Rattus norvegicus: one gene and its partner. The protein of the gene in region 1 purifies or fractionates together with the protein of each later gene. This does not show direct contact. Links are inferred from orthologs where the notes say so. Each region holds a gene or a part of one and is shown in the gene's direction. Other genes may lie near its edges.

What was found.
Region 2: the proteins of Lrp5 (region 1) and Axin1 purify together in Homo sapiens (affinity purification with western blotting; 3 studies listed by BioGRID). This does not show direct contact. The link is inferred for Rattus norvegicus from reciprocal best matches to the Homo sapiens genes LRP5 and AXIN1.

The regions. Positions count from the first base shown.
Region 1 is NC_086019.1:210,242,906-210,246,105, reverse strand, and holds the end of Lrp5 (low-density lipoprotein receptor-related protein 5), read left to right. Parts: intron 1-2,142; coding exon 2,143-2,404; 3' UTR 2,405-2,605; downstream 2,606-3,200. UniProt on the Homo sapiens protein: Acts as a coreceptor with members of the frizzled family of seven-transmembrane spanning receptors to transduce signal by Wnt proteins.
Region 2 is NC_086028.1:15,666,594-15,670,507, forward strand, and holds the start of Axin1 (axin-1), read left to right. Parts: upstream 1-1,364; 5' UTR 1,365-1,663; intron 1,664-1,783; exon of another isoform or gene 1,784-1,920; intron 1,921-3,914. UniProt on the Homo sapiens protein: Component of the beta-catenin destruction complex required for regulating CTNNB1 levels through phosphorylation and ubiquitination, and modulating Wnt-signaling.

The DNA.
Region 1 (3,200 bases):
GTGGTTTTTGCTCCTTTCTCAAGATAGTGACCTATCTATCTGAGCTGGAAACCCCAAAAGCTGGCTTGGCCTGACTCCAACCCCCAAGTTACATTTATTGGGGTTCTTAGACCAATCCTCGTGAGTGAGAGTGGTGTTATGAACATTCCTAATACTGGGGTGATACAAATGCCTAGCTTGCTCTTTTTCATAAGGTCCCAGTGAGATTCCATCAACATTCACACCAGAGAACTAGTGAGTCTCTTGGTTGGTCTGTCTTAGAGGGCTACAGTGGCACCTGCCCCGCCTCGAAAGTCTTTACCCACCGTAGATGCCAGTGGTATAGATGGAGCTTTCCTTCAGGAAATCTTCCTGAGACCCCAGGCCAAACAAATTAGAGCAGAGTTGCATACAAATGGCTGGGAGGTGCAGTGGGGGAGCCACTGAACTATCAGTGTCCTCTCCGGCCACTTTTTCTATCAAGGAACATCAGTTAACAGGACAGCAGGTGATGGGCTCCGGTTTGCAGACTCAGCTGATTTGATGAAAATGGCTCATGTTGCTCAGAGAACTCACATCCTGTGACAGAGTGGCCCCAGAATGAACCGGAGAAGCAGGATGGTGGTACACTGCTGTGGTTGTAGTAACTAGGGAGCCTAGGGTGCCAGGGTGGGTATAACTAAGAGGCTACCCTCTAGGTACTCTGGCCTCAGCCCCAGAGGGCTACCTGCCAAGGCCTGGAAAGAGGGTTAGGGCCCCACCTACAGGGCTCTGGGGGGACCACACTACCTGGGTCCCTGGTCTATTGGATCTTGCAGGGTGTCCCTGTCTGCCCTCTAGTGGCCATTTCTGGGAACTTTTGCACTGGACTTGTCCCAGGCTTGCAGCCCCTTCTGCACTGCTGCTCAAGCACCAGCAGTGACTGCTAGTGTCAAAGTATAACATGCATCCTGTGCTGCCAACCCAGAGTTGTCACTGACTCCGCAGCTCTGTCTGCCACTGTCCCCAGACTGGAGATATCCAGGCCTGCAAAGCCCGTTCCCTGAATCTTCCATCCTGCCTGCCTTTGCTCTGGCGTTACTCCAAGGCATTGTCCCTTTCACGGCCTGGCCGAGGCCGAGTTCCATGAGATGCGTGTTGCCACTGTTTCAGCCTCCCATTCCTGCTCACAGTGTGACCCCAGTATGGTGGGTCCAGACTCTGAAATAAACCATGATCCCTGCCTTGGTAAGTTCAGGACCCAGGCCCTGATGCAGAATTTCTGGGCCTCTCAGCCACTGGGAGGCTGGGAGACATCACCAAGGTCAGGGTGCTTTAACTTAAGACTTCTAGGGGTTGGGGATTTAGCTCAGTGGTAGAGCGCTTGCCTAGGAAGCGCAAGGCCCTGGGTTCGGTCCCCAGCTCCGAAAAAAAGAACCAAAAAAAAAAAAAAAAAGACTTCTAGAATCACACATTCTCAACGGTCACAGGAAAGAACATTGTACTCAATAGCTATTAAACACTTTCTCCTGTAGGCACTTATGCTTCTGGCATGTTCTACATAGACTCTTACTTCTTTTTTCCAATCCTCTTAAGAAATAAGGCTGGGCTGGGGCTGGGGAGATTACTTGACACACAGTATTAGGAATGGAGTAAAAGGCCACACACGTGGAGAGCCTCTGAGAATCCCAGCACCTGGGAAACAGAGACAGGAGGATCCTGGGGGCTCACTGGCCAGCTAGGATAGCTAAATTAATGAGCCCAGGTTGAATGAGAGCCCCTGCTTCAAAGAATAATGTGGAGAGTGACCTATCACTCGGAAGACATCTGAGGTCAACCTCTGACCTCCATACACTTGAACACGCACTCTCACACATGCCTATGAGGTTGCACATACAACCCCCAAAGCAGGGGTGTTTCCTTTTGAGAAACGAAAATTTGGAGGTTAAGTGAGCTCTTGCCAGTCAGCCAACAGGTTCTGCTGACCTGTTGTCTGGAAGGGAACCAGGGATCTATTTCTTACCAAGCCCTGACTGTGGAGGCAGAGAGGGAGAAAGAGACTGAACTCTGGGTTAGGCCACCCAGCAGGCCTTCTGCTTGTAGAAACTCTAAGGACCAGCAATTCAAAGGCCTGATACACATGTGGCTAGGCACTCAAGTGAACTTGTTCTTTGTTCCCTCTAGGCCCTACATCATTCGAGGTATGGCACCCCCAACAACACCTTGCAGCACAGACGTGTGTGACAGCGACTACAGCACCAGTCGCTGGAAGACCAGCAAGTACTACCTGGACTTGAATTCGGACTCAGACCCCTACCCGCCCCCGCCCACTCCCCACAGCCAGTACCTGTCTGCAGAGGATAGCTGTCCACCCTCTCCTGTCACTGAGAGAAGCTACTGCCACCTCTTCCCACCCCCTCCATCCCCCTGCACGGACTCGTCCTGACCTCGGCCGTCCACCCCGGCCTCGCTGCCTCCCTGTAAATATTTTTAAATATGAACAAAGGAAAAATATATTTTATGATTTAAAAAATAAATATAATTGGGATTTTTAAGAAGTGAGAAATGTGAGCGGTGAAGGGGTGGGCAGGGCTGGGAAAACTTTGTACAGTGGAGAAAATATTTATAAACTTAATTTTTTAAAACATACCTGCCATTCTTTTGTGCCTCGTGAGTATTTGAGTATTGAGCCTGTTCCCAAAGACAGATTTCACCCCACTGGATTGCCGCCATACATGCATCCTCTTGTGCATGGCTGTCCCTCTATCAAGCCCCCTCAGGCGGAGACAGGTTGGGACCTGACCTGTACAGAGAATCATTCACATGCTGCTCAAAGGCTCAGGGCGTTTCCCACTTTGCACTGGACCTGCATGATGTGTTCCTGGGCTTCAAGCTGTGTTGGCATTCGGGCTCATCCCTGGTGCCAATCACGAGGACCAGAGGCCAAGGTGGCCCTCTGACCATCCCATCTGTGTAGACCCCAATGGATGGAGCTATGAATTCGACTCTGTCAGGCTGTAGTTGCTCAGGCCATGTCATAGACAATGCCTTTGGTCCCTGGAGGCATTCAGTCAGCAGAATCAGAGGTCTGTCGACATGTTTACCTGGGTCATGGTGAAGTATAGAGTCTTGATCTCTATCCTGGGGAGGGGTCTCTTGTCTCACAGTGGGTGAAGTAAAGTTGTGGCATGGACTGAAGAGAGTGGGTGACTCTTGAAGTGTCCTGACAGTTGAAGGGAATA
Region 2 (3,914 bases), on another chromosome or scaffold:
AATCCTGAGGCTCAGTGATGGGTCAATGAGAGGAATTTGGCAGGCTAGGTCACCCTAGTAGCTATAGTTCAAGTGGTTCCTTCTCTATACATAGTAATTCTGGGCCTCAGCACTGTGCTAAGTCCTCTCAAGAGACAGGTGGCAGGGTTAGGATCACTTCAAGCAGCTGGGTGGAAGATGGCCTGTGGGTTTAGAGTCCTAAGCCAATACTACTGCTTTTGCCTGGAAGCCATGATGGATAAGGGACCAAACAACGAGGGAGAACAAAGCCCAGAATAAAACATAATAGTGGCACTAGCAGCATGTAGATGTAGGCACTAAAAGCATGTAGATGGGCAAGTGCGGATGCAGCCAGGATAGATAACTGGAGAGGTTCTGAAAGAATTTGGGGGGGGGGGGTTGGGGATTTAGCTCAGCGGTAGAGCACTTGCCTAGCAAGCGCAAGGCCCTGGGTTTGGTCCCCAGCTCCGAAAAAAAGAAAAAAGAAAAAAAAAAAAAAGAATTTGGGTACCAGGACTACTCTGGTCAAGGTGAAGCATTGGGTGTGTACTGAGCATGGGTTGCAACCTCTTGTCTGTAAAATGGACTACCTGAGAGGTGTCCGACTGTGCTCCAGAGTCCCGATTTGACTGGTAGATGACATTCTTAAGTGCAGTAATTCCTTGTGTACACATCCATCTTCTTGGGGCGTGGCTGACCGAGGGTTGCGGCCTGTCAAGTAGAGAGCTGGGTATCCATGTTCCTGATACTGTGGCCTTGTGTACGTAAGCCTGTGGTGGGGCATCATGGAGTTGGCTCGTTGCGCCTTCAGACTCAGCAAGAGCTGCTTTGGGGGACCGTATATCTGTTATGTGTGTGTTTGTGTGGAGAGGTCCGGTTACCCAGAGGCCGTTTCAGGGTAGCGTTTGCGACCAGACATAGGTGGTCTGCCTTCAGTGTACTGGCCTAGGGTTCGGTGATGGCCGAGGTTGTTGAGCGCGCTCAGGGCTGTTTCCCATGCCACCTTTCGGGACGAGCAGTAGTTGCGGCCCCATTGGGCATCCTCCGCGACTACGTTCCAGCGGCGCTCCTAGTTCACGCCCCGCCTCCACCACCGCAAGACACTGCTTGGCTCTGGTTTCCTTCCAATCTTGAGTACGCCGCAGCCCCGCCTCTCAAGACCCTGCCCCTTACTCTTCTGGTCTTCAGCCTCCCACCCCGCCCATGTTAGAAGCTCCGCCCCACACCGTGGTTCTGCTTTCACACAGAGACCCAGCCTCCGCAGCAGTCCCGCCCCACACCACGGCCCCGCCCCCGCACTTCCGGGCGGCGCCGGCGGGGGCGCTCGGGCCTGGGCTTCAGGGCTCTGGGCTCCCGGCTCAGGGAAGCGCTTGCGGCCGTTGCGGCCGGTGCCGCCGCCGCCGCAGGAGCCTGCCGGGGTCGGGCTGGAGCCTCCTTCCAGAGTGGGCTGGTGAGAGTGAACAGCGGGTCTTGGCGGCGCTCTGCGGCCTGCCTCGCGCCGCCTCCAGGCCACGGGTCGCCGAGCCGTCGCCGCCGCCGCGATGGGGGCCCCTCAGGGCCGCGCCCCCGCCGTGGCCCGCCCGCTGAGCCGCCGCTGAGCGCATGGGCCTCGCCGGGCCGGGAGCCAGGCCCCGGGCCGCGCCTCCACAGCCGCCGCGCGCTGGTGAGTAGTGGGAGCCGGCGGGCGCGCTCCTGTGGCGCGGAGGCCTGCTGCCCGGGGCTGCGGGAGTAGGCCGCGCTAGGCCGGCGTACGCGGACCCGGAAGAGAGGGGCGCGCGGGTTGCGGGCGGGAGGCGTGTCGGAGCGTGGCCCGCGCTGTGCGAGGTTGTGCCCGGTGTAGGGAGAACAGAGCTCCAAGCGGACGCTAAGCAGGAGAGGTGGCAGGTTCCGCAGTATGTGTAGAGGCGTGGGGACTGCCTGGTATGCTAGACATATTGGGGAGAAGGGCTTTGAGGGGGCGATGTGCTAGGGACGGGATGATAGTAGGGCATGAGGAGAGCAAAGGCCTGTGTGAACAGGACAAGGGAGTACGGAAAACCAAGGATTCTAAGAATGGTCTACAGTTAGGTGTGTGTCTGCTGAGCGTGGTATACTTGTTCATGGGCCGGGGACTCGTTTAGGATGTGGGTGAGTTGGTGTTGAGGAGCTGCTGGTGGTAGACTATGTTTGTGTCCTCCGAACTGGGTGTGTGTGTCCTTCCTTCACATCATCCTAATCCCTATGAAAAAGTAAAGTAGGGTCAAGTAAGAACAATCCAAGGAGGGCACTCTATGGTGTGGTTTGACTGGCCAAATACCCACTTGTTCTGGTGTCCATTGCCTTACTTATGCTCCCCCAAAACAAAATACCCCCCTCCCAACCGAAACCCAAAGTGCACATTTTTAGTTGGGCATAAAGAAAGTAGAAAGAAAAAAAAAAAACCTAAGGATTTTTCTCAGCTCATCTTCAAGATAAACGTGTGCATTTTTCCCTTTTACTCTGACAAGTCCATTTACTCACAGCCAGTTTGGAGAACATGGGAGTCTGACTTTACCTGAGAGAGGCAGTACTGGCTGATTTCAGTTTTAGAGCTTCACTTCAGGATCAAGAAAGTATATGAAGCACAGGGATTCTGTTTGATTTTTCAGCAGTATTGACTTGTGCTACATCTTTTGGAGAAACAAAGTGGGTTTTATTGTCCGTTAAGACTTTATTTGAAGGGGTTGGGTATTTAGCTTAGTGGTAGAGCTCTTGCCTAGCAAGCGCAAGGCTCTGGGCTCGGTCCTCAGCTCCCCCCCCCCCCAAAAAAAAGGACTTTATTTGATGGGTGACTGGATTAGATATGAAATGAGAACCCTGACCTTTCAAGAATTTAATCAATGGCTCATTAGTAAAATGCTAGTCATATTATTTTCACATTCAACCTAAATCATAAGCTTATACTCTGTGTGTGTGTGTGTGTGTGTGTGTGTGTGTGTGTCAGACTTGTATATTACCTTTATGGAGTTACTTTATAAGTGTTGGTTGCAGGTTTGAGGCTGGATTTGGTACTATGGGTTTTAGACTTATTGAATTATCATAGCTGCTTTTTGTGTGGTATTTCTGTGTACCTTACCTGTTAGGTGTCCTCTGTGGGAGCCCAGGGATTATTGGAAATTGGGCTGTTTTAATGTTAGTAATTTGTGGGAATGTTGATGTTCAGGGACAGGTGCAGGAGTGCAGGCCCCTCTTTCCTATGATGATATCTTAGATAAGAGCAAGGAGACATGATGGGCTGCTGTGGTGTTTCAGATGTCCAAGATGCTTACCACATGTAGACAGAACTCCCAGAAAGTGACTAAGTTAAGGAGAGGTATAGGAGGTCTGTGAGCAGCAGGAGACCACAGTCATCGGCTGTGACCTTAAGAAACAGGCTGATCCTGCTGAGGCTGAGATTATAGCTTACCTAAGAAGTCATTAGTTGCAGAAATATCATAATTGTGACCCATCTTTTATTTGTACATGCCTCTTCCTTCTAGCCATTAGTAATCTAGTCATCAGCATCGTTAGCAGGTAAAGTGTGTATTGTGTGAGAATGAACAAAAGATGGATTTCATGGAAGTCAGGGCTCAGCACTGTAGAATGGTGACCAAGGACAGCATCTCCCTTTTTGGTTGTTGATGTGTATCATGTTTTTTGTTTTTGTTGTCTCTTGTACCCCAGACTGCCCTCCAACTCTGATGTAGCCAAGAATAACCTTGAATTCCTCATCCTTCTGCCTCTACCTCCACACACTCATTTTTTGCAGTATTGGGGATCTGGGGATGAAGCCCAGGCCTCAAGCTTGCTAGGCAACACTCTGCCATCTGAGCTACATCCCCAGCCCATGACCTTGAACTCTTTGATTTGTTTTATTTTTGAGACAAGGTTTCTCTCTATAGTCCTGGCTGTTCTGG